3 linked regions of the Mus musculus genome follow. The protein of the gene in region 2 interacts with the protein of the main gene of each other region in a pairwise test. Links are inferred from orthologs where the notes say so. Each region holds a gene or a part of one and is shown on either strand. Other genes may lie near its edges. The genes, in order: Ptpn22, Egfr and Ptpn18.

Region 1 (10,511 bases), on a different chromosome or scaffold from region 2:
GCTGGGATTAAAGGCATGCACCACCATGCCCGGCTGTAGTATTTTTTTTTAACTGTTGCTTACATATGTATATAAAAATAAATAGTTCCTTTAAAATATTTATATATTTTTAGTTTTTGTCTTTTAATAGTTGAAAAGTGTGAGAATAATAAAACATATAGCATATTTTGTAAAGAAAATCTGAATTTTGACCAGATTCTTGGACTGGTGGTTCAGATCCATAAGCTTGCTTGGCTTGTAGCACCTGTCTTGTCCCCAGGAGCCTTTCTGAACTGCTACCATAACCACAAAGCTCCAAGAGTGTTCAGACTCAGGCTCCTGCAATTTCACCTTTCTAGCAAGAACATCATGAAAAAGATATATTGGCAAGCCTTCTTACTGTCTGAAATCACTGTATTAACCATCCCTTTCAAGTAATTGTCTGTACCTCCCAGGCCATGGTTTCCATCATCTCCTTTTGGGTCAGTCAGACCTGTTGGTGCAGAGTATAGTAGGTCTTGCATATTGTTTGGAATTTTTAATAAAACCAATACAGAGCCAGGCAGTGGTGGTGCATGTCTTTAATCCTAGAACTTGGAAGCAGAGGCAGGAGGGTCTCTGAGATTAAGGACAGCCTGGTCTACAAAGTAAGTTCCAAGACAGCCAGGACTACTCAGATACTCTGTTTTGAAAAAATAAATATGTACACCCAAATGAAATGTATGTACAAATGAGATGCAGTTCATTTGTTAATAGTTAAACCCAAACAGAGGTGTTTTAGGCAGTGCGTGTTGGTGTTTACGGCTCACTGGCTGGCTGAGTGCAAACTGAGGGTGTATGTGTTCCGGATCCAGGCTGCAGGAAACAGTGTTGCACCAGGCAACACTAGGATGTACTTAATTTGAATCAAACTTTGGCTGTTTGGCATTCAGAACCCTATGCTTGCCAAAGTCATCGTGACTCAATTACATGAGCCCCAATTTGAGACGCCAACATACAGATGATATACTACTAAGAGGAGAATGAACCACAGTCTGACTTCCTCTGGAGCTCTGCAAAGTTGCTTCTTGTTGCCTTGTGAATGCAGATGGTTTACCAAGCTTCCAACAAGACTGAGAAAGCATGAGTACAAAGGAATTGAGTCAGGAGTTTAGACCTCTACAGCTAGTGGACAGGACTATGAACAGTAGGAATGGACAAAGAGGCTGGCCCTGAGTAGACACAGAGACATCTTTAACAAGACAGGCAAGGGTGTTCCATAGTACTGGTTAAGGGAATAGCTGGGTAGGCAACAGCCAAACTGCAGTAATTAAACCAAGACATTTAAATCAGGTATGAAAAGACGAGGAAATGGCAAGAGTATGTCAAAACTACCCTGAGAGTAACTGAGGATACGGGAATAGATGGTCCCGAGTTAAAGGCTGAGCGAGGGTGGACTGAGGAGGAATCAGCTGCAGAGGTCAGTGTGCTCTTTCTGGTGGTGGTAGTAATAAAACACCTTAATAAATACAACACTTACTTCAGTAAAGGCTTATTGGTATGCCCAAGTGACAGGCTCGTTCTCATGAGCTGTTTCAGTTCAACAAATGTTTGAATTCTTGCTATGCAGGGGATGCTGTGCTTATAACCATTTGTTTAGAATCATTGCTGTAAATACACATAGAACCAAGACGTGTCCTGGTGTCTATGATAGATGAAATCTGCAGAAGCTATGATAATGTCAGCACGTTCTAGTTACATTAGCACTTGAATGCAGCCATTAGAGATGGGCTTCTACCATTCGAGCTCAATGGGTCCTTTATATTTAATAAATATGTCTGAATAAACAGTTTTAGGAGTTATTTTTTAACTACAAAAAAAGTATAGACTTTAAAATAAAAGTTAATACATTTGACAAAAGCTTGGAATGTACAAAGAATGACTAGGCTGTGGGTGTAGCTGAGTACCTGAGTAGTAGAACCTCTGTCTAGCAAAGGCAAGGCTCTGGATTAGACAATCTGTGTAATAAAGATAGATTCACAGCCAAACCAGGACGCCCAAGCCTGAGGTCTAGCTACCTGGGGACCTGAGACAGGAGGATGGCAAGGTCTCCCTGGGCAACTTAGTGATAGTCTGTCTCAAAATTAAAAAAAAGAAAAAAAGAAAAGAAAAAAAAAGAAATTATGAAGGAAGGAAGGAAAAAAAGAAAGGGAAGAGAGGGGAAGGGAAGGGAAAGGAGAAGGGAGGGAGGGCAAGCTAGGCTAAAAGCCATAAAGAAACTACATTTTGAGGCCAGCAAGGCTAAAAACCACTGTGGTGATTCAAAATGGGTGTTGCCAGCTGTGTTGGTTAGTTTTTGTCAACTTAATACAAGTAAAGTTATCTGGGAAGAGGAGATCTTAACTGAGAAAACACCTCATCAGATCGGCCTGTAGGCAAATCCGAAAGGCATTTTTTTTTTTTTTTGATTAATGATTGATTCAAAAGGTCCCAAGTGCATTATGGGCAACGCTACTCCTGGGCCGGTGATCCTGAGCACACCACAAGAGCGAGCGAGCAAGCAGTGTCCTCCCTGGCCTGTCTCAGTTCTTGCCTTGAATTCCTGACCTGCCTTCCCTGAATGATGATTGCAACATGGAAGTTTAATCTAGGTAACCCCTTTCCTCCCCAGGTTGGTTTGGTCAGTGTTTTATTATAGAGGCAGGGCAGCCTAATTAGAACAGCCGGTGACTACTCGACATCTTTCAATACTCTTTCTATGATCACTACAAGAATCACATCTATGGAACTTTGACAGAATTCACAACAACGACTAGAAAAAACCTGAGATCCAGCTACAAGCTTATTCTCAGCCTGGTGTACACTGTACATGAGATGCCTGGATTCTCTCTCTGCCTCTCTCTGTCTCTCTGTCTCTGTCTCTCTGTCTCTCTCTCTCTCTCACACACACACACGCACACGTGCACAGGTGCGCCCCCACTGCACAGAGAGCCCCTGGGTGTTCTTCCTAATAATAATACCCTGACCTCCTACCTCTACAAAAAGATAGAAGCCAACACTATCAGAACAGTTTGGGTTTTTTTTTTTTTCTGCATTGCTTTATTTATTATACTAAACAGGAGTTTTAAAATCTGTTTTTTGAACTATATGCAGACGAAATTGTGTCAAGTGTCTTGTGTCTTATTTGCAAAGCTAATCAATTTTGTTGCTTGTAGCTGGATCTCAGGTTTTTTTCTGACATACACGTTTTTAAAAATATAAAAAGAAGGAAGGGTCTGGAAAGATGGCTCAGTAGATGGCTCTCTTGCTGTGTTTGCTGAGGTCCCACTTGCTGTGTTTGCTGAGGTCCCAGAGTCAGTTCTCAGCATCCACCCAGTGGCTCACAACCCCCTGTAACACCAGTTCCCAGGGATCCAACTCCATCTTCTGGCTTCCACAGGCACTGGGCAGGCACTAAATGCATAATATATAAATGCCGGCAAAACAACACATATACACACACCAAATACAAATCTTTCTTTAAAGGAGCAGGGTGTGCTTGATGGTACACGCCTTTACTTCTGTTACATAGGAGGCAGACAGACTTCTGAGAGTCTGAGGCCACCCTGGTCTACATAGTGAATCCCAGTGCAGTGAGAGCTGCATAACGAAACAACAATAAAAACTTAACAACGACAAAGAAGTCAGGACTGAAATCTGAGTTAAGGAACCTTTTGGTTTTGTTTCTTGGTTTGTTTGTTTGTTTGTTTTGTGGGGGGAGTTGTTGCACAGAAAATCTACATTTAAGTATAAATGCTGTATCATACTAGCCACTAAGGCTGCTAGCAGTGCCTTTACGTCATAAAGTTCATTCTGAAATCTCACAAACATCAAGAACTTCAGGTGGACTGTGGGCAGAAGTCAAGTGGAAACCTTCCAGTTGGATGGCAGTATTTCCCTGGGCCAACAGCTCCTCTCCCAAAGCTATTTTTCTGGTGTCTCAGTTGAACCTTTAGGTGGGGCTGAGGGTGAAACTCTTGTTTTTCCACTGGAGGACGTGAGTCAGTGAACAGTGAGGTTCCACTTAATCACCACCCAAAAGAAGGTTCTTAAGTATAAGGAGCCAGAAGGGCAAGGAGATGATTAATATAAACCCAGGACAGTGATTTACCCGGGTGGGATGGGGTGGAGGAATGGGGTGGGGTGGGGTGGGGTGGGTGGGTGGAGAGGCCAGTTGTGGAAGGGACAGTAGGGAATCTCTCCAAGTTAGACAGTGCTATATTTTTTGATCTGTGCAGTAACCGCATTAGCACTGGTTCCTTTATAACTATATTCACATGTTTTGTGTAGTTTTTCTAAATATATATTTTAGTTCACAATTATAAGCAGCTAACAAAATACAAGCTATAAAAAAGTTCTTAAGCTGAGAAAAATATGACCAGATTTATGTAATTAAAAGAGCACTTTGGAGCCTGGCATGGTGGTGTACACCATTGTACACCTTTCATCTCAGCACTCAGGAAACAGAAGGTGGATCTCTGAGTTCAAGGCTAGTCTCGTCTATACAGTGAGTTCCAGCCCAGCTATGGCTACATAGTGAGTCCTTGTCTAAGAAAATTAAGGTGGGACAAGGCTAGAAACAGAGAAAGCAGTCAGGAGGTGGCAGCCAGTTTGGTAAGAGACTATAACGACCTCTACGAGTGGTTAAAATATTAGAGATATAGTCTGCTCTGTTTTGAAAAATACAACCCAAGTAAGACAAAGATGTCACTACCTCTCAGCTCACGTCCCCTCTATATCTTAATAAATTGCCTTAAGAATGTCTCAGTGATACAGTCAAAAGGCATGCTTGGATCTAAGTAGACACATAGGCAACTCTACCCTGTGCCTAAACTACCCTGAGAACTTGTGGCAGAAAGAAAATATTTAAGTGACACCATAAGCTGGCATAATATCTTAGCCTCAAAGTTGGGCCACTATATACTAGCCTGCTGTGCTATCTAATAGTGATATCTGTTCAGTGAAAACATCATGGATAGTTTTCTCTTCTAATATCTGGTGCCAGAACGCTAGTTCTGGAAGGCAAAGACATTTTGTTTACTATTGTATCTTAGTGTGAAGAAACAAAGTTGGTACATAGTAAGTGCTCCTAAATGATCCCTTTTCTGAGACACGGTCCCTCTCAGTCGCCTGGGCGAGCCTTGAACTCAAGATTTAACCCACCTCAGCCTTCCAAGTAACTGGGTCTCTGGGTGCCTCCAAAACACCTTGTTCTCATTTAATTATTATAATTAATGATATAATCATCACAATAATCCAAAATGAGATAGATAGGACATAAATTATTATCCTCATTTTTTTAACCTAGAAAACAAAGAGTTAGGGTGATTTGGGAACACGTTAAATATTTGATAATTTGAATGATGACCATGTCGATGTTCTTTATTTTTCTCAATTCAAAGCTGAAGGGCTAAGGCTTAACATTCTTACAGTTCTGAAATACCAATTAGAAGCTTTTAGAACACAGCAGGTTGGTGTGGTCGTACATGCCTTTGATCCCAGTGAGGCAGAGGCAGGAGGATCTTTTAAGTTCAAGGCCAAACCTGATCTACATAGTGAGCTCTAGGCCAGACAGAGCTACATACTGATACAAACAAACAAACAAACAAACAAACACTAAGCAAAAACCAAAAGCATGACAGGTGTGTCAAATACCATGTTATCTGATGTGCCTGACAGGGATGGAAAATGGGCCGCCCAGCTTTTGTTACACTGTTAACTATGGCTCCCTCTAAGTGGATTTGAGTTCTGGATAATCAAGTCCACCTGCTCCCAGGCTACCTTGCTCTCCATGTCTCTCACGTGTCTCTACTCCCCACTCTCCCTAGCCCACTTCTCCAGACAATATAAGTTAAAGAAGCCCAGCTATTGTTAAAAAGGAAAATGCCTATTCTAATAATCAACTTGTTTTCAAAGGGATAGGAGAAAAAGTGGCAAAATGAGAGTTTTTGGTGTTTTTCAAACCCCTGTTATCCCAATGATAGCCTATAGGGAAGCTAAAAATAACACGTAACATGAAAAGCTACTCTTATTAGTAATCTGAAGCATATGTCACAATGCAAATGCTTTCTGCAGATGTTCAGAAAGCATTAATATCCATACACCTGTCTATACCTTCTGTAGGACCATTAAGCTCAAAAGAACAAGCAAACCCAACATTAAAACCAGCCTACCTGGAGAAAACCCTGAGCACAGACACAACAAAGCCCAGAGAGGTTATGTTCTTAGGTCGCCTTCCTCCCTTCCACTCCAAACTCCATGGTCGTGTTATCCCTACAGCAATTGCGTCTAGGCAAACTGGGCCACCACAGACTGCTACACAGTTTATCTAAGAACTCTTCAGAGCATTCCAGAACTCACCAGAAATTCACTGGCAAACTCCTCACTGTTGAGTTTCTTTTTCTGGGCTTCTTTCAGTAGTTGCTGCAGAATTTCTCTTTGGTCCATGCCGCAGAGCAAGAGTCTGTGAGTAGGTTAAGGGAGGGCATGTCAAATATGTGTCATGGCCAAGGCAGCACCAAGAAGCCACTGCTGCTGCAGGAGCACAGCGTGCTGGAGGCTGTGGTTTACTGACTTCATCACAAGCCCTAGAGGAAATTAGTACAAAACTAGCTTCTGTGGTCACACAACAAAGCCATCATCTCCCTGCAGGGCCCTAGCGCCTTCCTTTCTCAACAAAGAAACTTGGCTACTGTTCAAATGTAACAAACAAGAGGCTAACCAGAACACAAACTGTGGTCTGCTTAGCTCAGAGACTGTTCCACGCTGTCAGTCTCAGACAGCACTCAGTTCTTCCATTCCCAGAAGAAAGGCAGAAAGTACAGCACTAACCTGTGAGTTCAGCTTTTCACATCCCAGTGAGCAGAAAGGCCTGGGTGACGCCCACCTATGCCCTGCTGCAGGAGAGGAGACAAACACTGGAGTTACCTATCTCCGACCCGGACCATTATCCCCAAAGTCTCCTATAGATATGATCATGGCAGACCTCTGCTCATCAAGCGGGCATTTTGTTTCAGAATTTGTCAAGCTTCCATTATAAACCTCACGTTTTTCTTTTAGAGGAAGCAAAGTCCACTGCTTCTGATGGTCCATCTCACCCGTGACTGGGGAAGTACTGGCCCTCATTAAGGGAAGTGTTGGTCTCTGTACTTCTTCAGACCTCCAGTAGCTTTGCAAACACTGAGAGTACAGCTCTACACAGGATGGGAAGCACCGGGGAGGCAGTTAGCACAATATCCCCAGAACGCACTGCTAGCAAACAGCGAAAGGACAAAACGGAACTAAAGCTAAAATATTGCTTGCTGAGAACCATACAGATTCTATCTAGGTCAGCCTGTCTGGAGAGAATTGAGGAGAGGTGGTGCAGTCCCAGCTCCTCAGGACTGTCCCCAGCTGCAAGATCACTTGAGTCTCAGAGTTTGAGACACCTGAGAAACAAAGTGAGCGCTCTCTCTCTCTCTCTCTCTCTCTCTCTCAGAAGGGGAGGGAGGAAGAATGAAAGAGGCTGAAGAATTCATGAAGACATGTTGACATTTTGATCCTACAGAGCCTATCTCAGAAAAGATCGCGTTTCAGGGAGCCGTCCACATCTGTGGTATCAGTGCCTTAACAAGGCAGGTTATTCCAGAGAATGCTTCCACATCTCCGTTTGCATAAATCCTCTCTTCGATGGGCACAAATCCACTCAAGATCTAATTCAGTGTGAAAACCCTTGCAAATGAGGAAGTTCAGTAAACAGAATGTTACAAAATTAGTTTCAAGTTAAAAAAAAAAACTGGGAAAGGTGTAGTTTGGACTTCCTCTATTAAGATATTAGCAACCCTTTCTGGTTTTACACTATTCAAACTCCCTTCAGAAAATCATGATTTTGAACACAAAACACGCTGCACCCTCTTCATTGAACCCTTGGCAGGCAATTTGAAGTTAGTATTTCACATAAAGAATTTCAAATGTAGTTCACACAAATTAAAATGAACCATAATTCTTCAGCAATATTTCCTGAGACTAAAACAAATCTCTGAGATTATCCTTGTCTAGCAACAACAGGAAATTTCTTGCTACTCTAAATGATGCAATATTTGACTATTTTAAAACATACAAAATATGGGGAAGCTTTATTTTTAAAAAGAATACAACATTCTTCAGGGTATAATGGAATATACTTGTAACACTAGCACTGAGGAGGCTCAGATAGGAGAATGGTTACAAAGTGCAGGCCTATCTGAACTATATATAGCAAGACACTGTCTCAAAAGTTAAATACTTTAAAAATCCTAAGTTAACTATAAATAAAATTATATGAAAATATGAAATTTAAGCCAGACTCAGAAAGGCAAGTATTACATGTTTTTTCCCCTTAAACAGAGAATCTAGATTTAAGTGTGTGTGTGTGTGTGTGTGTGTGTGTGTGTGTGTGTGTGTGTGTGTGTAGGCCATAAAAATAGAAAGAGGAACATTATTATCATACATTAGTCACACATAATGGATTACATGACATTTTCATATTGTAGTTAATGCATTCCGATTACACTACGCATTCAGTCTTACCCTCTCTTCTCTTCACACCTAACCCCTCTCCTCTTGCCAACCATCTCCTGCCTCCCACTTTCATGTCTTTTTTAGTTTTCAATCCCAGTGAGCTTCATTAGGGTAGTTTAGGGGAGCATGCATAGCTTACCAGAGTCTCACACTGAAGATGACTTCTCTCCCTTCCCTGCCAACCATTACCGGCATAGAGATCTTCAGGCTGGGGTGGGACTCCATGAATCCCTTACCCTCCGCGACAGAGTGTTGAGTTGACACAAACTCAAGTTTGTGTGGATCCTCTACGAGTGGCACAGCTTCCATGAGCTCAAGAGTGTAACACCCAAGTCCCACTTAGAGATTAGCATTCCCCACCTCTTCAACCGCCTTCGCCTGCCTTTACACTGGAAAGATAGGCCTTTAAATCCTGGCACTCAGGAGACAGAGGCAGGCAGATTTCTGTGAGTTTTAAGACCAGCCTGATCTACACAGTAAAATTCTGTCTCAAAACAAAAGAAAAGTTAAAAGAAAAAGTTAATAAATAATCTCTCTCTGTCCCTTCTCTGGGAGTGCTCCCTGGGTTTTGGGGTGGGGAGGGGTGATGTAGGTGTCCCATTTATTCCTGAGCACTCACCAGTGGTTTATTCTCAGAACTCTGACCAGAGTTGTCTCTGCAGTCACTGCCTATCACTGCAGACAGTACGTTCTCTGACCAAAACTGAAAGCACCACTACTCTATAGACAGAAAGTTATCTAGAAGGCAGTTAGACAGGCGCATCACGTCCGCTTTGCAAAACGACAGCAGTGGATGCCCTATAAGGGCCTATGACCTCCCAGCCAGAGGTTTTGGTTGTTGTTGCTGCTGTTGTTTTGTTTTGTTTTTCTTTTCCCCCAGCCAGAGCATTTAACCAGATTTATAGTACCATGTAGATGGCAAGGGCATCAAATCCACTCAGAAAGCTGCTGGTTATCTGCTGAAGAGACCTGCTGCCATTGCCCCAGGGCTCATATTGCCAGTAGGCGTTATTGTATAGATGTCCACAGCTAAATAACAATGTTGGTGACCAGCCTCCCCAGCAGCCTGCAGAGCACCAGTTAGCCACCAGAAAGGAAGCTTCTTAGCACCAGCTTGATTTCAGTATGTCTTGCAACCGAAGCATATGTCACCTTTGGCAGCAAGATCTTAGTTCTGATGGAAACCCAGAAACATTGACAATTGCTTGTAGTGTGTGTGTGTGTGTGCTTTCTATCTAACAACAGAGGTAGGCAATTCCTATCTCTGACATTGGGATTTTCATCTAATAACCTATGGTTATTAATCTTGTTGGTGTTAAGGCATTTTATTTAATTTTATATAAATGGATGTTTTGCCTACATGTGTATGTCTATATGTATACCATATGCATACCTGGTACCCAGGGAAGCCAGAGATGGCATTGAAATGACATTGAATCTCCTGGAACAGGAATTACAGATGGGCTGGGCAGTGGTGATACATGCCTTTAATCCCAGCATGAGGTAGAGGCAGGCAGATCTCTGTGAGTTCAAGGCCAGCCTGGTCTACATAGTGAGTTCTAGGACAGCAAGGGACACAATGAAACCCTGTCCTGAAAACAAACAAACAAACAAGAATCCCAGATGGGTGGAGGGAATTGAGTCTCCTGCTGCTGAGTCACCTCCTTAGCAAATATTCTGAGACTTTCTGTTGGTTCTCTTCTCCCCTCCCTTCCCCCACCTCCCTACCCTTCCCAACCCCTGCTTAAGTGGTCCCACACCCACTTCATGCATTCTGCTCCTTAGTACATCTCAGATTGTCTTTTCACCTTCACATGGTCACTGTCTAGTCTCCTGGACTCTTAAACACTCACTCCCACTTAAGTAATAATTAAAAGCTGCCATCCACATATGAGAGAGAATATGTGATATTTGTCTTTCTGAGTCTGAATTGCCTCACTTAATACAATACTTCCCAGTTCCATTTTCCTGCAAAT
Region 2 (10,411 bases):
AAACAAAGATAATATCAAGAACAAAAGAAAAAGAATAACTTAACTCGGATAACTACAAACTCTAAAATCAGTGTGGTGTCTTATTTTTTAGTTACAAAGAGGCTGAAAGCACAATGTCTCACCCCTCCAGGATGTTGCATTTCTCCACGCACTCCCTGCCTCTGCTCACATTCTGGCAGGAGACACAGTCCCTGGGCTCAGGGCCCCAGCAGCCTTCCGAGGAGCATAAAGGATTGCAGACGTGGTTCACGGCCTCTGAGAAGACACAGTGATTCATAGGATCAGTTAGTAAACAGTAACAAAAGTGATCAGAAGAAGTGACACCCCTTTGAGGGGTTGTGTGCCCTTCACAAGACATATTGGGGTTCTGGAGACAACAGGACACCAAGGCCTCTCTTCTCTGTAGTGTTCAGGGCAGCTTCAACCTGACTCTGGGGAGATTTTGGTGATGGATGTTGCAGCGGACAGAAACGCCAGGGAAGGTTGTAGGTGCTTGCAGAGTGCTGGGCACCATGCCAAGAGCTTCCCATACAGAATTCCGTGTCACTGAGGGACACTGAAATCATCATGTATGAATGGGAATCAGAGGCCAGAAGTGATTAAAATATGCAAGACAAGTTCCTTGAAGCCCATGTGGGCCAGAGGAGTTCCGGAACACAGTATTGCCTCTGCCAGAGTTCAGAGTCCTGTTCCAAATCCAGGGGTAGTTGCCAGTTTCAAAAGCTAATCCAATGTTTTAAAACCAGAGTTAGGAATAGAAATGTGAAATTCTTCGATGTGTATATGTGCATACATGTGTGCATGTGTATTTGGCTATAGTAATTGAAGGATAATGTACACACAGAACTATCTGCAGTTAAAATATAATATAAGGAGTACTACAACTTGCTTTCAAAATTACAGATATTTAGTAGCCTAGACCATAGAACATATGTTACCTTATTCATTGATTTGACCACACATTAAGAGAGGAAGTGGTTTCTTTGGATAACAGTTTAAGAAGGGATACTGCCCATCACAGTGGTAGAAGCAAGAGACCAAGTGTTCAAACACATGAGCCTGCTGGGAATATACTCAAACCACAGCATCCCTTCTGCTGCACTCCATGCTCCCAGGCCACATAGGATTATGACCACTTTATAATGAAAAGTATGTTCATTCCATATTCTTAAGTCTTTAACAGACCACATTATTTATTTATTTTTTGTAGAGGGTATGCATTCCCATGCCCCCCCCCACTCCTGTGTGTGTGTGTGTGTGTGTGTGTGTGTGTGTGTGTGTGTGTGTGTCTCAGAATCCTATTTGTTGGAGTCAGTTCTCTCCTTCCTCCATGTGAGTCCTGGGAATAGAACTCAGGATGCCAGGCTTGGTAACAATGTTCTCTCAGCTCAGCCATCTCACTTGCCCTTGATAAATTGTTAACACTATCAATATTGTTCAAAAGCCTCAAGTCTTATTTTTCTCTCAAGACTCAAAGACATCTTTTAACTATTGGCTTCTGTGCAATCAAAAAGTAATCACAAACTTCCAACATGCAATGGCACATAGTAGATGTTCCCATGTCAACAAGTAGAATCAGGGCACAGCAAAGAAAGACGAAGACTAAAGTAAAACAAACTCAGCAGAACTACCCAAGAATTACCCATGTCTTCATAATTCTGTGCTGCCAGGTCTGCCCCTTGCAGTGTGGAAAAGCTACTCCTTTAGCCTGCTCTGTGCCACGCCTGCGGTCTTCCTTAGCAGGCATTCCACCGTGCTGACATCTCTAAAATCCTAGAGTGCCCATTGCCACTCAAGCTTCATCTTTACAGTCTCACGTAGCCTCCATTCACAACTCCAAGCCTGCCAAACACCACCTGGCTTGCCTGGCCTTCTGTAATCTTGGCACAGGCTTCCATGCCCCCTTCAATCCTGTATCTTTCACGTGTATAAAACCAGCACCCCATGGATGAGGCTGCCCATTGGAGTGGCCAGCTAAAGATGTAGCCTGGCCTCTAGAAGCAGGAAATATCTTCAGCAGAATTCTCAGTTTTGGCTCTCTTCTTTCAAATGAATGTACATTTGCATAAGATGTACCTTTTGGGAGATGGGGTCTTGCCTTCAGAGCACCTTTTTCCTATTGTCTCAGTGTGATTATACAAGGTTTCTCTTTAATAGTGCTAATATCTTTACAGTTACAATTGCTTCCTCAGCACCTGGCTTACATGCACCTTTAAATTTTCTCCTTTGCCCATCAAACTGCATATTTTCCTATCTCTCTGTCCACTTTCCTCTCCAGGACTCTGTAGTCCTGGATAAGAACCACGAGCAGGAGACTGAATGCTATTCTTTCTGTTTTGAGATATCCTCCACCAATCAAATTGGGTCATTGCTTTCTAGTGACTTATGTTCTCAGGACATGGGCAGATACAGCCAGATTCATTATCATCATGTACCACAAATGGCCTTTAGCTCACTTTCGAACAGTGTCCTGATTCTCCTCTGAGACCTAACGGATCTGGTTTTTACTGTTCATATTTCTCTCAGCATTATGATCTTCCAAACTCCCACCAGGATGGCTTAGAAAATTCTGGGGCTTTCTCAGACAAAGTTCCGAACTTCTCTACATTCCTCCCACAAGCTAGCCCCAAAGGGCTAAGAGCCACATCCTCAAATTCGTCAAAGCCAAGGCTCCTCTGTTTGGCATCCATTTTCTTTACTGCTTTTCTCGTTATTGCAACCAAATACTGGACATGAGCAACTTAAGGAGGGACGGGTTCATTTTGATTTACAGTTAAGGAAGGGGTTCAATCAATCATGACAGGAAAAGCATGCCAACAGAAGTACGAAGAAACAGATGATCTCATTGCAATTATAGGAAGCAGAGAATACACACTAAGTGGAGTCCTCGAGCCTGCCTTCCTCCAGGAAAGATCCACCTTCCAAGGGTCTTACAACCATTCCAAACAGCACAGTTAGCTAGGGACTCAGTGTCCAGACCCATGAGCCTATGAAGGACATTTCACGTTGAAACCCCACAAGGCAAATTCACCCTATGAGATGAGAACATTCTGGAAACAATTCTGATGCTAGCGTTACAATTAGGAATATGCAGATTTTAATTCAATGAAGGAATGAGCAAAAGCAATTAGAATGTTTGGTGAAAACCTCTTCAGTATGTCTTCCAAAACTAAGTTACCTCCGGGAACTATCTGTGCAGGTGAGAGGGGACCAGCTACTTACTGCAGTCTTTCTCAGCTCTGTTGTTCATGATTTTGGTTTTCTGATTGGGTGTCCCGAAGAGTTTTTTCCAGTTTATTGTGTTTGCGTAGCACAAATTTCGGTTTCCAGAAATGATCACATCCCCATCACTGATCTCCTTGAGGGAACGCAGCCCCAGTGATGTGATGTTCAGGCCAACGACCGCCAAAGAAAACTGACCACTAAATGGGAGAGAAGAAAATTGCACTGTTGTGTGATAGCGAAAGCAATGGGCCATCCTCAAATTCAGTTTTTCTGGGCCACTTATGTTTCCTGAATCCTGTGTTCCAGTTATTACTAATCATTCTGCGAAAAGTATGAATCACAACGTTTTAAAAAATGCAAGGGTTTTTTTATAGATTTCTTCAAAGAAAAGACAGTTTCTCATTTGCTTTTTATCTTTAAACTTGGATAAACAGGAGGAGTTAATCAGAGGATTCATGTCATTTCATTTGCTATATTTATAGTTTTCCTAGAAATCAAGAACATGCTTTCTAGCATCTGGCAACATCAAAATGTACTTAAGGTAAATATGAATATCTGTCCATCTGCCTACCACTCAGCTGCCCAGTCATGTTTATTGAGTGAATATCTGTGGTTCCATTTGCAAATACCACACAGGTTAAATATTTGTCTCTTTTACTTAGGGACTCTGTCTAAAGGTGATATAATCACACCGGCAGAGGTTTTTTTTGAGTCCATAGAAATAAATGCAGCGTTAGTGAGGACTGGGTCAGCCATGGGTGAACACTGAAGGAGAGCCATGGAGGAAGAGCATGGAAGGGTGATGTTCAAGTCATGATACCTCATATTTGATTAAATAAGATTCTGCAGATATGTGTCTGGATGAAACTTAGTCAGATAAGAGAGAATGGAGTCCCAAATCACAGGACTCTGCAGGATGTGTGCACTTGGCGAGGGCAGGGAGACAGACTCAGGATCATGGTTGAGGTCAGAGCTCAAATGTATGCCCCTGCTAGGCACAATTTGTCACATGTGACTGATGGAAATGCACATAGAAGCGGTGTGCATTTGTAGGCATCTTCTTGACACTAGCCTCAGGAATGAGCCAGCTGAGCCAGGACAAAAGAAGAGAATGGAAGCTATGGGGTTAAATATCAAAGTTTAAAGTAGTATTTGGCAGACCCTCTTCCTAGTCATGCTTATTCTCATTTCCCCCTTCATGAATTATCTTTCCCCACAGCCTGTTTTCAGGGAAGTGAGGGGTCTGGGTAGGAGATCCACAACCATCACTTACTGGGAATTCTCCCCCAGCGTATGTCCAGAAAAGCCAAGGAGTCAGGGTCTGGCTGGGGTCTTTCCTGCAGGTCAAGTCCCAGCTTTCTGTGAGTCATGTCAGGAACTAGTGGTTATCCCATAGCTTAAATGCTTAAAATTAAGGCTAAGTCTCTTGTGCAGTCGCTTGAAACACGGTGCTAACCTCAGAACGAGAGCATTCCTGAGAATTTAAGAGGAAAGGCAGGAAGCAAAAGCAGTGGCATGCTTAGTATCAGAAGTGCCTATTTAAAGGAGTTTATGGGCAGCAATGTATATTCTGTGTGTATGTGCTTTGACTTGTTAAATATTCCACAATATTAGTGGGATTAGTGATGTTAGTGGTGGTAAATGTCAGAAAAAGCTATCATAATTAGAAAGTTTCCAAGACAGATTTGAGCTACAGATTTCCAGATTTCTTTTCCTCACCACAAATCTTAGGATTTCTCTTACTCTAGGAAAGCTCTTCACCTGTCTCCCATCTTCTCTGTCTCCCTGGTGTGACAAGTTATGTGTCTTCAACTGCCTCATTATCAAATATTAACCAAACACAAACAAGGAGATGCCCTATAAAACACCCAGTCATATTTTCCCAGAGTGTCAAGACAACAAAAATCAGCAAAGATATAGGAGCTGGGAAAGTTTGAAGGGAACTAGGAAGACATCAGACATTAATGCAGTGTGGGATCCTGGAGAGGACAGAAAAGAATGGATGCATTCGTGGAAAATCTGGTAAACTCAGAATGAAGTACATGGTCCAGGGAAGAACATGGCACCTTGTCAAATTATTTATCTTAACTTTCATATCTACTCACATAAGTTGCTCACATTAGGGGAAGCCGAGTAGAAGATCGGTCTTTGTCCTATTTCTGTTTCTTTTGACAATCTTGGGGAAAAAATTCTACTAGGCTTTTGTTATGGCCAACTTACTGTTGCTTTGTTCTGCCACGTATTATTTCTAGGTTCTCGAAAGCATGGAGGTCAGTCCAGTTATCAGGCCAAGCCTGAATCAGCAAAAAGCCTAGAGGGAAGAAGAAAGGCTTAGACTCACACTGTTAGAAATTTCCTTGTTGTAGGAAGCGTGTTCTAGGACTCAGATAAGGCTGCTGTATGGACCGTGGCAGTGGATTCTTCCTGTTCCTATCACCAAGGATGATAGTGCATGTCCTCACACAGGTCCAGGTGATATATATATCATACATACATACATACACACACACACACACACACACACATATATATATTTCATATATATATATATATATTTCATATATATATATATATATATATATATATATATATATATATATATATATATGAAAGAATCCTGTCCTTTCTATGCAACCTAGAGTCCCTGGCTGCCCTTCCCTCAATGCGTAGGCCAACTCCCACCTGAGCAGGTGACAAGTGCTCTGGCTCTGACATCCATAAGGAATATCAGATTATACACCTGGATCCTTTTCTGACTCTTCTCCAGTCTCTTGTTACCATGGTCTCCTTTTAAATATTTTTTTCCATTTAACTCTGATCCTCATATTAATCCTGTTTTTCAGATCAAATTATCTCCCCTTCATAGATGACGAAAATGGCATGCTGGTGGCAGTCATAGACCCAAGACTCCCTGGTGGACAATCTTTTGAAATCTAGTTTGTGAAACTCGAGAGCCTGCACTGCCTGTTAGCGTCAACCTTGTATCTTTTCCTCCATCTTCTCTCTGGGGGTTTTGGGGTCTGTAAGGACGATGGACAGTCTAAGCAGGAAAGAACCGCTCCATGTGTCCACATCAAGTCCAGCATGATTGCAGCAGCCGTGGCTTAAAGTGCTTTCAATTTGCATCAAGGGAAACTGGTTTTTAAAAATGTCTCGAAGAATTACTCATAATGGATAAGCTGCAGACACCACATTCTCATGTCAGGGAAGAAAGGGAAATGTCTGGGAGTCGCTATAAAATTTAATTTCCCATATATGCTCCTGCACACCCGAGTACAAACCTGTTATTTCCTTTACGGTTTTTAGAATTTCTAGTTCTCGTGGGTCTAGAGGAGGAGTGCGCGTGAAAGAATCCCTGAAACAGACAGCAACGTGATTATTGGACACTCTCCGTGGCTTAAAGCAGATTCTACAGTTCTTCATCCAGATGGCTCAGCTGTTACTCACCCCTTAAAGGCCACTGGCAGGATGTGAAGGTCCCCGCTGATGGCAGTGCAGTATTTGAAGTGTTTGATGTTTGTAGCATTTATGGAGAGTGTGTCTTTAAATTCACCAATGCCTATGCCATTACAAACTGTTAAGAGAGATGTGAATTAAGAATGTGAATTAAGAAGGCTGGGTCTGCACAAGCGGAAGCAAGAACCCTGCTACCGTGCACTATTGATTCATCCCAACAACCCTGAGGGGACCCTCCAGGTGCCAGGACTCCTGTGACAGGCTTCGCTGTTCCCTTCAGTCACTGGAGTGGCACTTGGGCTGTCCTTGTCACAGACCTCTGTCAGATTTGAATGTTCTGGCTGTACTGAATCTAGTCACTCACAAAGACATTGGCTCCGCCTCTCTCTGGCTACAACAGTTCACCCACCTGGGCTGCAGGTGGCGCCTCTGTACCTGGTTCAAGAGAACTCCCCCACCTCCACCATGCAATTTGGCTTTGCAAGTTTACCTTCTACTTTCCAGACAAAATAAATATATTTTTTTAAAAAAAGATTAAAAGGTGGGTTTATTTGGAGGTGGCCATAAGAGTTCGGCACAAAGATCAAGAAAAAAACCCTACTGCTTACCTTTGCGACAGGGCCCATCACATTTTTTACACTTGCGGATGCCATCTTCTTCCACTTCGTAGTAGTCAGGCCCACAGGCTCGGACACATGAGCCATGATCTGTCACCACGTAGTTTCCTGAGGAAGAGGCAATGAAAAGAAGGTGTTGAAGGCTACAGCAGGTGCTCCTAACCTTCCACAAACATCCTCATGTCCTGCTGTGTATGGGCTGCTAAAAAGGTCCCTCTTAGTTTGGTTGACTTCTCTTTGAGGAGAAAGACTGACAGATTTCAAGTAGAAGAGGAACCAAGCTCTAGTCTAATGGCTTTTCTGACAGTAATGTGGACAAACACAGATACTTGATCTCAGGTGCAAAACAGCTATGAGAGGAAACACCACCATGCGTGTTCACTGGCTGAAAGCCCCTTGCTGAATATGAATTTCCTCTGACAGGTCTATGCTTAGAATATACAAGGAAACCTAAGATATGTAGTACACACACACTAATGCTTATCAGACAGACCATGTCCCATTGAGGTAACTACAGTTTCTTCTGTTTGATACCAGCTTTGCCCTTCCCCACCCATCCACCATGCAGTTCTTGGTGGGACAACGAGGGGACCAGTTTGTTCTGCTTCCTAGACAGGCGCCCCAATCTTTCTCTCCACTCCCTTCACCTTTATGTAGTCTAACCTAATTAATATTTATGATTACAGTATTACTAGAAACTCTATGCTCCTATTTTGAGTTTCTGAAATACATGCTCAAAATGTGGGCATTGGTACTATATCTGTGAGTCATATGCTCTTGTCATCATAGGTTTTGTTTCCTGCAGAGTTTAAAGATCTGTTACTAAGCCTTCACACAAAGATTCTATCTATGGCATGACTGTCATGAGTTTTTCTTCATCTTAGTTTTCCATTTACCTTATTCTCTAGCTCTCCCTCTTCCTCCCCCTCTCCCTCCCCCTCTCCCTCCCCCTCTCTCTCCCTCTCCCTCTTCCTCCCCTCCCCTCTCTGTGTGTGTTTTCTAATGGGACTTCAATCACCTAAATCTAGGTAGGCAAAATCTCACCCTTATAGTTTCCACTTTACATTTTTTTTTGTCTTAATTTACTTTCTAGAAGTCAAGATTGGTTTTAAGGCTCTTTATGAGTTGTTTCACTTTCTCTGTTTGGGACCGATCTATGTTGCCATTTTCCTATAGGTACCATAGAGTACCATCATACATGAATAAAACTTGAACCCAAATGAGTAAATCAAAGCAAACCCAAAACCAAAATACTCCAAGAGCCCAGCCATAGCCCTAAATTCTTCTCCTCAAGGGGGTGGGTCTGCTGCCTTTTCTAATTTAGGTCTGTTTAATGCAGAGTCAAACAATGCAGAGTCAAACAAAGGTTGTCCCAGAGGGTCACGACCTTGTGTTAGTCAGCTCCAAGACACTCCAGGTTACTGAAGCTTCCTCTCTGACTTGGGGTGAAGCGATAGGTGGTTTGTACTATACAGTCTGGCTGCCAGCAACACTGGATCAGTGCAGGTCAAGCCACCCTTTAAAGGAAGGCATCCTGACTGCTGCAGGCTGCCTCTGCCTCCATTGCTCAGCACTGAGTGGGGTTCTCATCCTTGCACCTGTCCAGGCAGACACTAGCCTACAGGACAACAAGGCAAGCACAGTGGCTGCCTCCAAACTGCCCAGGACTCTAGCATAAGACAGAAGAGGAAATGAGGACTGTTGGGTGAAAGGGCAAACTCACGGGGGCACTTCTTCACACAGGTGGCACCAAAGCTGTACTTCCCTTCAGGGTTGACATCCATCTGATAGGTGGTGGGGTTGTACAGCATGAGTGGTGGGCAGGTGTCTTTGCATGTGGCCTCATCTTGGAACTTTTGGCAGACCTGTCATAGGAGGGACAACATGTCTGGTCAAGGATGTGGCATCCAAATGAAAGGAACCCAGTGCCAGGCAGCCTGCAGGTCAGTGGGACAGTGACAGTTTTCGGTGTTTTACATGCTCAATTAGAGAGGAAAAATGTCTAGTAAGCCTTTCCAGGATAGTCAGAAACACCTTCCTCTTATGAGTACTAAGTATACATTTTTAAGTATACTGACTGTCTCAATTGATACAGCCTAGGGTTTGTGGTTAAAAAAAAGGTAATAATGAAATCTACACATGATATTGGAAAGTATGCTGTAACTATTTTTAAACTCAGTTTTTACTGGGTTTCTTTCATAAAGAACACTATAAGAATATATTTTATAATTTATGGACAAACTGCAGAAATCTTAGCAAGAAGATTCCATGTAGAGAGCTGTTGGATCTTTCTAAGAACTCCATTTGTAGTTTTATCCCCGGGCTGCCCATTTGAATCAGACCAGACTACCCAGGTGAAAAAAAAAAAAGATGCCTGGAGCTAGGTTTAGTTTATAGAATTTAAGAATCTTCTGTTCCAGAATGATAGAATACTCTAGACTCTACCTTTAGGTGGACTTCCTTTTCTGGAGCCTAATGGAGTTTGCTTGGGTTGGCAAGGACCCCAGGAATCACATTCACTAACCCCTGACAGCTGCAAAGTTAACACTAGAGCTTTCACCAGAGGTAGAGGGTCTGAGGGGAGACACTGTGGGATGGGGTAGGATTAGGAGGGGAGCAGCCCAAGAGGCATGAAAATATGGTGTGCACATGCCATACTGCCCAAAGGTCTGGGTAACTGGGATGGTTCTCAGGGGGTCTTACAGAAGAAGAGCTCCCTTCATTTCTCATAATGTTGCTACTGTTGTCCATGACAACACTTAATTAAAATGTGCACCACATGAAGGCTGCTGTCACAGTCAGATGTCGAGCACGTGCACAGCTCTGCAGCACAACTCCCCAGTAGCCAGAGTCTTACCAGACAGTCACTCTCTCGGGGCCCTGTACACCCCGCAGCACATTGGTTGTGGCAGCAGTCACTGGGGGACCTGCCACGACAGCGATGGGAACATTGCTGGGCACAGATGATTTTGGTCACTGAAAAAGAAAGATTACCAGTGAGCTGTGTTTAAGTGGCAGCTCATCTTCTAGAGACACCAAGGAATGCTTGCACCCAGTAGAAAGAAATAAAGGAGGAACCATGGGTTTTGTGACAGGGAGCAGCTTCTAGGCTT
Region 3 (10,511 bases), on a different chromosome or scaffold from region 2:
TCCAGCACCATGCCCGTCTGCCTGCTGCCATACCCCATGCCATAATGGTTATAGACTCACAACCTGAAACCGTAAGCCATCCCTGCGGTAAACGCTTTCTCTCAGAAACCGCTTCTGTCATGGTGTCTCTTCACAGCAATAGAGGGATAACTAAGACCCAGCCCCACGTCTTTGTCTCTGGTATCTGCAGCACACACAGCTTGTCTAGTAAGCTCAGGCTGGCTTCTCTCTCTTGCAGTCCTTGACCGATGCTCCGGAGCCTCCAAAATGCAGGGGTCTCCACGGCAGGTAAGAAGGCTGTACCTATACCAGTGGCCTCTCTTCAGAGTGACTGCCACTCAGTCACACAGTGCCAAGTCTCAGCTGCTCTTCCTGACTGCCTCAGGCCTACAAGCCCAATTCCATGCTTTTACACATTATCAAATCCAGCTACCAGCTCGAGATGCAGCCTTGCCTCCAGCCCAGGCCACAGCTTCCATATGCTGACCCAGCGGAAGGAATTTCCAGCTTTCATCTCAGTGACACTGGCCTCTTATTAGTTGCAGCCGCTATTTCAGCATCCATTATTCCAGTAGAACAAAGGTCTCACTTCCAGATTCTTTTTTTTTTTTTAATTTTTTATTAGGTATTTTCCTCATTCACATTTCCAATGTTATCCCAAAAGTCCCCCATACCCTCCCCGCCATCACTTCCAGATTCTTAATTCTAATTTACCACACAAATGGAACTGTGAGAAGGCACTCAAACTTCCCTCAGAAACATCATAAGCCAGTCTCTATCATCTTATTTTCCAAGGTTCTAAAGAACAGTTCATTAACACTTAAGGGCTTTTCTTTTCTGTTTGTTTGTTTGTTTGTTTGTTTGTTTTTTCCTGTATAGCCCTGGCTGTCCTGGAACTCACTCTGTAGACCAGGCTGGCCTCGAACTCAGAAATCCGCTTGCCTCTGCCTCCTGAGTGCTGGGATTAAAGGCGTGCGCCACCACACCACCAAGCCCAGCTTTTTTTTTTTTTTTTTTTTTTTGACTGATGATTGATGTGGGAGGACCCGAGCTCACTGTGGGTAGGACTTACCCTGGGCTGATGGTCCTGAGTGATGTATGAAAACAGGCTGAGCAAGCCAGTGAGAAGCAAGCACTCCTGGTCTCTGGCCCAGTTCCTGCCCACCAGATTCCTGCCCTGAGTTCCTGGTGTGACTTCCTTTGATGGTAGACTGTGACTTTGGAAGTACAAGGGACATAAATCCTCTCCTCCCCAAGTTGCTCTGGGTCATGATGATCACAGCAATAGAAACCATAACAAAGAGGAGACGGAGTTTATTTGGCTTTCAGGTCACAGTCGGTCACTGAGAGAAGCCACCTAAGGAATTCAAGTCAGAACCTAGAGGCAGGAACTGAAGCAGAGCCCTCTGAGGGATGCTGCAGTACTGGAGAACCTAGAGGCAGGAACTGAAGCAGAGCCCTCTGAGGGATGCTGCAGTACTGGAGAACCTAGAGGCAGGAACTGAAGCAGAGCCCTCTGAGGGATGCTGCAGTACTGGCTTGCTTCCTCCCACTTGGGCACAGCCAGCTTTCTTCAAATGATATTTTTTTCAGACAGCTTGCTTGTACCGGTCAGGACCACTTACCTGGGGTAGCACCACCCACAAGCGCCAACATCAGTTAGCAATTTAAAATATACATCTATACATACATTCATGCCCACAGGCCAGTCTGATGGAACAGAGGCAATTCTTCATGTAAGGTTCCCTCTTCTTCAGGTGTGTCAAGATGATAACCAATATTAGCCATCACAGATAGACAGGCGGGAATCCTGAAAAAACAGACTCCCATATGGACTGCCAGACAGTTGGATATATTTGGGGTCAGATAAGAAGATAGACATTTAGACAGATCAGTGGTCCCAGAGAAATACAGCCACCCCCTTCCTTGCTGACTAAGGTTAATCCCAGCCGACAGAAGACAGACCATGTCCACTAAGTAAATTACCCCAGTGGAGACCCATCCCATCCACCCACTTAGCGTTCATATGGGCAGATTTACTTATTAGCCAAACTTGAGCCTATGAGAAAGATCCCCTTAGTAAGATTCCATCTTTTGGAGAAACAGACACAACTGGGTCTCCAGCTAGGTTTTCATCCCTGGCTTAGACAGATCTCCAGCTACCAAAGTAGAGATTTCTCAGGCACTGCTCAGCTCTCCTGTCCCCTGCATATTACCATAGCTGACCCCTTGACCTCTCAGAGCTGCCGCTGCTCCTGGGTACTGGAATGGTCTCCAGTGACCACTGCCCACCAGTGGCATCTGCTGCTGCTCCATAGGGGCCTGCCACGATCTCTTGGTGACACCCTTCCATCTGCTCCGGAGGCTCCTGGCTTAAGATGACTGCCATTGGTCATCTCAGAGATTCAGCTTCTTCAGACTCCACCATTGTCACACAGATCACAGACCTTCTGTGTACCACCTCCCTGGGTCGCCATCAACCCCTCCCAGCCCATCCACCAGGCATTCACAATCCCTCTGGCATTTATTCATGGCCATCTTTTGCTTCTTTGGGAACCAATACTCTAAGTCCCCACAGCCACTCAGGACTTTATTGCCCTTCACCCTGCTCCTGAGGATGCTGACTCCCCAAATGCTGTTAGTAACATTCACTGACCTCCAATGAACTCAGCAATTACTGTCCACCCTCAGTCATTCCTGCTCACCCCCTTAGAACACACAGGTGTGAACAGTGACTCCCCAAGAACTTATAATAAGTAGGTTAGAGTTCCCCCACTTTTGAAAGCTCAAAACAATTTATTTCTTCATATATACACATATATATACATATACATAATGTATTTTGACTATATTCCTCTCATTCTCTAGCCTCATTCCTCTTCCTGCAGATCGCCCTCTTCACAAGCTCCTCTCCTACTTTCATGTCTTTGGTGTGTGTTTGCCCCATTGCATTTAACTGAGCTTGCCTGAGTAGGTTGAGCAGGCAGGGGGGGGGGTCATTTATCGGAATGAGGGAAACCTACCAGTGGGTGTAGCACTAAGGAGTATGCCTCCCTTTCATAGCTATTAACTGTCTATAGCTTCTCAGGGAAGCATGAGGCCCCCTGTGCCCAACTTAATGATGATGGAACTTGGGTGGGCCCAGTGTTAGGAGCTCACACCTGCAACTGCTAGGTCACATCCAGGAGACAATGTTTCATGGCACTCCCAACCCTCTGCAGCGTTCCCTGACTTCGGAGAGTGGATACAGACGTCCCTTTTAGGGCTGAACACTTCACTCACCCTCAGTACTTGAACCAGTTCGATATTACTCTCACCTCCCAATATTTAAGCGAGGTCCAGCAAACTAGCGTCTGCAAACCACATTTAAAAAAAATTGCGACAAAAATCCAATGATTGGTGTCAATGTGGTTTCTAAAACTTTTAAAAATTCTATTTGGCTGGTTGGTGGTGGCACATGCCTTTAATCCCAGCACTCTCAAGGTAGAGAGACAGGTGGATCTCTGTGACTTAAAAGCCAGTCTGATCTACAGAACTAGTTCTAGGTCAGCCAAGGCTACACAAAGAAACCCTGTCTCAGAGAAAGAAAGAATTTATTTTTATGTATCTGCCAGTATATCTGCGCAATGTGCAAGCCTGGTGCTGTGGAGGCCAAAAGAGGGCATTGGGTCCCCTGGAACTCAAGTTTCTGGTGTTTGCAAGCCATTGTGTGGGTGCTGGGACTCAAACCTCAGTCCTCTGGAAGAGCAGTCAGTGCTTTTAACTGCTGAGCCATCACTCCAGCCCTCCTAGCATTTTTTAAAAAAATTACATTTACTTGAGTGCTTCTGCACAAGGCATAAGGAGGTCAGAGGACACTGTATGGAAGTGATTTTTTTTCCTTCTACCATGTGTGTCAGGGGATGCAGCACTTATTAATAGGTGTGGCTGCAAGACCTTTACCTGTTGAGCCATCTTACTGCCATCTTCCCCATTTCAGTGAAAAAGTTTTCATACTATCACCCTCATACTATCTGGCTGTTTTGCATTGCCACCACTGGCAGACCCACAGTGACGTAAGACAGAGATCTAGCGATAAAACCCAATAAAGTCTTGTCTGGCTTTTAAAGATGCTATCCATTCCTTCATTTAAACACTGTGATGACCAAGTTGACAGCCTTTTACCAATGATCCCACTCATCTTCCAGTGACTTAAAGCACTTCTTTTTTTGGTTTTTCGAGACAGGATTTCTCTGTATAGCCCTGGGTGTCCTGGAACTCACTCTGTGGACCAGGCTGCCCTCGAACTCAGAAATCCACCTGCTTCTGCCTCCCAAGTGCTGGGGTTAAAGGCGTGTGCCACCACCGCTCCGCTCAGCATGCTTAAAGCACTTTCAATTCGCCTTAGCCCTACTTTTGCACACGACCCCAAACGGATCTCCTCAGAGCCCTCCCTCAACAGAGAGTTGGCAATGCTTGAAATTCTTTGGTTCCCTTGCAGGTGGTGCTACTCCATCTGCTGAAGCCTGTTTTGGAAAGAACCCCCTTTTATTTTCTTTTGTGTGTAGGGAGATACACCCTCACTATAGAGCCTGTGTAGTTGTCCAAGGACAACACTCTGGAGTCGATTTTCTCCTTCCACCATGTGGGTCCTAGGTATCAAATCCAGGTTGTCATGTTTATTTAGTGGCAAGGCATTTACCTACTGAACCATTCCACCATCATTAAAACATTTTCCTTTCTCTCTCTCTCTCTCTCTCTCTCTCTCTCCCTTCCTTCCTTCCTTCCTTTCTTCCATTTTTTTTTTTAACTTTGAGACAGGATTTCATCACAAGCTAACTTTGAATTCACAATGTAAGCTAGGGTGACCTTGACTTTCTGATTTTCTTGCCTCCACCTTGTGAATGCTGGGACAGGCACTCTACCAATTCAGCTACAAACCTTAGCACGGCTCTTCTCCAGTCTTTAGTCTCCAGGACCCCAGGAGCTTCAGCATAAGATCTTCTTCAAACTCCTGAAGGGGGACGGAGTGAGTGTTGAGACCACTTTTCCTCCCAATGCCTCTCTAGTCTCTTCCTCCCTGAGGGGTATGGGTTAAGATCCACAAGTTAGGACTGAATCCTGGTGTCCCCGCTTTTCCAGCAGGTTCCAAAAGTGAAATCACACCCCCTACCCTCAGAAATAGGCCTTTTCCCAGAGCAAAGTGCAGGGAATATATTTATTCGAAGTCCCCGACCTCTCTCATATTCCGCTGTCGCACGACTGTGAACCTCAGCGCTCGCAGGACTCCGGAGCAACCTTGGGAACCCGGCCTGCGAGATTGAGAGCGCAGCCATCCCCCTGGAAAGGCCAATGGGACTGAGCGTTCCGTGCGGACTCCACCAGCTTCACGGCAGCCGAAGCACCCGAGGCGCCAGTGGGGAATTGCGGGACCCGCAGCTACTTGGACGGCCAGTTCGGCTGCGGTGGCAGCCAGCACCTATGGGCGGGACGAACGGAGTGAACTCCTAGTGCCATTGGCCGAGGAGCCTGCCAATTACCGGTCTTCATTGGCTGCTGGAATGGAGGCCCCACCTCGCAGTGGCTAAATTCTCGGAGTCGGATCACTCCTTGTGGGAGACCTCAGAGCGGGTCGCAGCATGAGTCGCCATACGGACTTGGTGAGGAGCTTCTTGGAGCAGCTGGAGGCCCGGGACTACCGGGAGGGGGCAATCCTCGCTCGTGAGTTCAGCGTGAGTGACACTCCAGCCATCAAGCTTCGCAGCCAGGCGCTCCCCACGGCTGTCCACCTGTGCAATATGAAAGCTCTGCCTTTTCCTCTCAGCTCCCGGGGCGTCTCCTCCCTCCTGCTCTCGGCTTTCCTCTTCCCGCACTTCTCTCACCCTGACTCTCCCAGCCTTCCGCACTTTGCCCACAGGTGCCCAGAGGGTGAAGACGGCTACTGTTTAGGAGGAGCCAGACACACTCAGGTGTCGGTGTCGAGCTCCCGGTGCAATCTTCTCCCTAGCGGGGCCGTGGCTTCCGCCGTGGAGGGAGGCAACACACCTGCGCTGGACTCGAGTCCCCAACCCGGGCCACTCCTGGGTCACCTTGTAATCCCAGGGAGGAAGTGGTTTGGGGCAGCAGAAAGAGGAACGAGGAAACTTGTAGCCTAGCCTAGGTTTCGCGTTACCAGTCTATCCTAGGGCTTTTCAGAACTGTGGCCCTGGGAGCTCTGACTTCATTTTCACCTGTTTTGAATTGTGAATGATAAAAGACAAGCCGGTTTGAAAATTAGGTGGTTTGGGTAGATGCACCTAGCACGCGTTGGGTATTCACTGGCTATATTAACTGTATGCACCTGCCTTTAACATGGTTTACAAAGGTTGTAAACGTTACCTCGGGCCAATCAAGCTTGTGAGAGCTACTGCCACTCAACAGCCATGGCACACAACATGTAATGACGTATTTTAAATAGAGTGACATGATCCAAATACGTAATACACTATCTCAAACTTAGAAATGTAAATGACAATGATATAAAAATAAGTGTGACATTAAATGATCACTTACAGCCTGGCATGGTGGCACATGCCTGTAATTCTAGCAGTTGGTAGCCTAAAACCGGGGGATAACCATGAGTTCAAGGCCAGCCTGAATTACATAATTTTGTGACCACTCTGGAATACTCTGGAGATTGTTTCAAAGAATGAAAAAGATAGTTTACACAGGCCAATATGTAAACCAGTAACAGTGAAACTCTGGTGGTGGTGCATGCCTTTAATCCTAGCACTTGGAGGCAGGGAAAGGAAGGTTACTGTAAGTCTGAGGTCAGTCTGGTCTACACAGTGAACTCCAGGACAGCCAGGGATATGTAGGAAGACCTTGTCTCTAAAACAATAAAAAAACCAACCAAACAAAAAAAATAACCCCAACTAACTAAATAAGCAAAACAAACAAACAAAAACCCAACAAAGCAACCAAACACCACAACAGATACAACAAACATTAATAAGAACCAAATTTATAGCAGGGTGATGATGGCACACACCTTTGATTTCAGCACTTGGGAAGCAGAGCCAGGTGAATCTCTTGAGTTCAAGGCCAGCCTGGTCTACAGAGTGAGTTCCAGGACAGCCAGGGCTACACGGAGAAATCCTGTCTCGCAAACCTAAAACCAAACCAAACCAAAAAACCCAAAAAGCAAGCAAACGAACAAACAAACAAACAAAAAACCCAAACCAAATGTATTAAGTTAGTAAGTAAATATACACACAAGCATATGGACAGGTTAAATGTGAGTCTAGATAATTTTCATATGTAAATGCTGTAACAGAAGAACTACTAGCATAAAGTATACATTTTATAAGCAAGAAGATATGCATAAACAGGAAGAAGGTGTCTCTGGGGGCTGGAAAAACCTGACCAACATAAGTAAACCACTTTGGAATGGTGGCCCAAACACAATGCCAGTCATTGCAAATATGAGCACCCGATAAGAGCGGTACTCTTCACCAGTTATAATAATGCAACAGCTATAAAGCACCTATAGCATCTTCCTACATGTTATACCTCATATCTATAGCATATTGTCATGCTGTACCTTGTTTAAAGTATTTTTAATTTTTATTTGGCGCATGTAGCTATATATGTATGTATGCATGTGTGTATATAGATACTCTTGGAGACTAGAAAAGGCTATTGAATCCCTGAAGCTGGAGGTACCAGCACTTGTGATCTGGCCAGTGCTAGTGCCAGGAACCAAACTTGGTTCTCTATAAGAGCAGAAAGCACTCCTAACCACTTAGCCATCTTTTCTAAGCCCTATTATTTTTTTGAGACAGGGTCTTGAGACAGGTTCAGGCCGGTCTTGAATTGAATATGTAGCCAAGGATGACTTTGAACTTGTTTAAATTATATGTGTGCACACATGTTCTGGGGGAACTGGACAACCATGAGAGCTACTTTTACCCTTCTATCTTACCTTGGGGTGAAAGTCAGGTTATCTGGCTTGGTGGCAAACACCTCTACCCACTGATGCATCTCCCTGGCCCCAGTTTAATTTGTTTTGGGGGTGGGGGTCTTGTTCATGCCACAGCACCTATGTACAGTCAGAGGACAATTTTCTGGTGTCAGGTCTCCTTATGGTGTGGGGATATAGGGATTGAGTAGAAAATCTTCAGGCCTGTGCAGAAAGTGCTTATTATATGCACCGAACTATCTTTTGGGTCTAAATGATGCATATTTTATTATGATTTATAGTACATTATAACATGATTGAATGTGCAGATCTGAGAGGTCTGGATTCAATCTTTATTGGGGTACCTCCTTGAGGGACCTTTGGCAAGTTACTCAACCACTCACTACCTACATCAACGTTCATCTGCACAATGGGGAGAGTGGATAGCCCCCCACTTGGGATGTCTAAATCCCCTAGCACTGGGCCTGACTTTCACCTGCTGTCCTAGATATTATTACACAGATGCTAGTACGGCTGGGTCTCACTCTGTTCTTTCTGCTCATGGTGCTTTCCACTAGGACATTAAGGCCCGCTCAGTGGCCTGGAAGTCTGAAGGTGTGTGTTCCACTAAAGCCGGCAGTCGGCTTGGGAACACGAACAAGAACCGCTACAAAGATGTGGTAGCATGTAAGTCAGTGGGTATCTTGAGGGAATCAGTGCCACTTGCACAAATGCTGGGTGGCAGTGCCCATTTGGCCGCACCCACCCACAGCCAGCCCCTCCCACTCTTCCTCCCTCCCCTCAAACCCCGCCCCCCGCCACTCCCCAAAGCATGCTATTGCTTGTGCTTGAGGTAGCTGCATTACTCCCTGAAGCCACAAGGGGGCAGAGCTCCACTAGTGTGCTGTCACCCCGCTTGCTTTTGCCTGGGAGGGCGTCAGTGACTTGACACCCACCCCTCCACATGTCCCACCCTCTCCCAGATGATGAGACAAGAGTCATCCTTTCCCTGCTCCAAGAGGAGGGACATGGAGATTACATCAATGCCAACTTCATCCGGGTCAGGCTAGTGATCAGGGGAGGGGTGGCTTTGGGGTGGGTTGGGACAGGCTTCAGCATCTCGTTAATGAATGGGCCTTTCCTAGGGCATAGATGGAAGCCAGGCCTACATTGCGACGCAAGGACCCCTGCCTCACACACTGTTGGACTTCTGGCGCCTGGTTTGGGAGTTTGGGGTCAAGGTCAGCTTTGCGGGACAGAGAGAGAGGGGCATGGTTCTGAGTCCCTGTCCTTCCGATTTCTCCTTACTCAGTGGCCTCCGTCTTCCTTACCTTTTGTCTAGGTAATCCTGATGGCCTGTCAAGAGACAGAAAATGGACGGGTATGTATCCTCAGCCTCCTAGAATGCAAAGAAGGCTTGTGCAGGGAGGAGAGGAGGCGCGGAGTCTCCTTCTTGTCCCTAGAACCAGAGTCCAGTCCCTGCCTGACTCCACTGCAGCTCTGCAAAAGCCACTGGTCCTAATTTTGCCTTGATCTTTTTCCTTTTGATCATGGGGTTGTCCCCACAGTACTGGCAGCCCGATCAGCCCACATCATGTACTGAAGAGTCTCCACCCTGGTCTCTTTATACCCTTGCCTGCTTCTTATACTCCCCTCTACAGGCTCTGTTTGGGGATGTCCTCTGCCATGGGTTTTACCATTGCCCATTCTGTTACCTGGACCTTCACGTGGTGTCACACCCCCACATGCCCACCTCTAACTCTTTCCTGTGTCTTACCATTTTCCTTCATAGTTCTTGTCTACCTCAACACATGGGATAATTCTAAAAGGGGAAATGCACATCACAGTAGTATGACGACCCTCCACAAGCTATTATTTTTACCTTTGACTATCTTCTTACCGGGATACAATTCTCCCGTTTAGCCAGGCATGCCAGCTCCCAGTGTGTACTTCAGGTTCTTAGGAGGCCAAAGTAAGAGCATCAAAACTTTGAGGCTGCCGGGCGGTGGTGGTGCACGCCTTTAATCCCAGCACTCGGGAGGCAGAGGCAGGCAGATTTCTGAGTTCGAGGCCAGCCTAGTCTACAAAGTGAGTTCCAGGACAGCCAGGGCTATACAAAGAAACCCTGTCTCGAAAAACCAAAAAAAAAAAAAAAAAAAAAAAAAAAAGCCAAAAAAAAAAAAAACCAAAACCAAAACCAAAACCAAAAAAACCCCTGAGGCCAGCCTGGGCAACTCAGGGAGACCATCCACACATTCACCACCCTGTTAGCAGTCCCAGCCCATGTTTAAAGTCACAGGCAACCCCTAGTCCCCTAGTCTCCTTTTGATGCCAGCAGATTTGCCTACTCGGCATGTTTAACATGAAATGGAATTGTGTGGCACGTGCCTTCCACGACTGGCGTCTTCCTCTTTGTGTTCTCGGTTCTTGCATCCAGAAGCATGGCCCTAGTGTACTTCTTTTGATTGCTGAATAGCACCTTGAACGCACCTACATCTCACTCCTCCTCTAAGCAGTTTGTAGATGCTGGATTGCTTCTCTGAATCACACCGCTGTGAACTTTCGTATGCAAGCCTTTGTGTGGACATGAACT

The links.
Region 1: the proteins of Egfr (region 2) and Ptpn22 interact in binary tests that used the Homo sapiens proteins (3 or more experiments, as listed by UniProt). The link is inferred for Mus musculus from reciprocal best matches to the Homo sapiens genes EGFR and PTPN22.
Region 3: the proteins of Egfr (region 2) and Ptpn18 interact in a protein complementation assay, tested with the Homo sapiens proteins (3 studies listed by BioGRID and IntAct, with this or other methods). The link is inferred for Mus musculus from reciprocal best matches to the Homo sapiens genes EGFR and PTPN18.

Annotation. Positions count from the first base shown.
Region 1 is NC_000069.6:103,856,337-103,866,847, reverse strand, and holds the start of Ptpn22 (tyrosine-protein phosphatase non-receptor type 22), read right to left. Parts: upstream 6,572-10,511; 5' UTR 6,445-6,571; coding exon 6,358-6,444; intron 1-6,357. UniProt on the Homo sapiens protein: Acts as a negative regulator of T-cell receptor (TCR) signaling by direct dephosphorylation of the Src family kinases LCK and FYN, ITAMs of the TCRz/CD3 complex, as well as ZAP70, VAV, VCP and other key signaling molecules.
Region 2 is NC_000077.6:16,867,971-16,878,381, reverse strand, and holds part of Egfr (epidermal growth factor receptor isoform 1 precursor), read right to left. Parts: intron 10,275-10,411; coding exon 10,156-10,274; intron 9,164-10,155; coding exon 9,022-9,163; intron 7,407-9,021; coding exon 7,290-7,406; intron 6,800-7,289; coding exon 6,673-6,799; intron 6,581-6,672; coding exon 6,507-6,580; intron 5,537-6,506; coding exon 5,446-5,536; intron 3,423-5,445; coding exon 3,223-3,422; intron 256-3,222; coding exon 123-255; intron 1-122. UniProt on the Homo sapiens protein: Receptor tyrosine kinase binding ligands of the EGF family and activating several signaling cascades to convert extracellular cues into appropriate cellular responses.
Region 3 is NC_000067.6:34,454,206-34,464,716, forward strand, and holds the start of Ptpn18 (tyrosine-protein phosphatase non-receptor type 18), read left to right. Parts: upstream 1-5,540; 5' UTR 5,541-5,618; coding exon 5,619-5,711; exon of another isoform or gene 5,712-6,830; intron 6,831-8,496; coding exon 8,497-8,605; intron 8,606-8,901; coding exon 8,902-8,978; intron 8,979-9,063; coding exon 9,064-9,159; intron 9,160-9,260; coding exon 9,261-9,299; intron 9,300-10,511. UniProt on the Homo sapiens protein: Differentially dephosphorylate autophosphorylated tyrosine kinases which are known to be overexpressed in tumor tissues.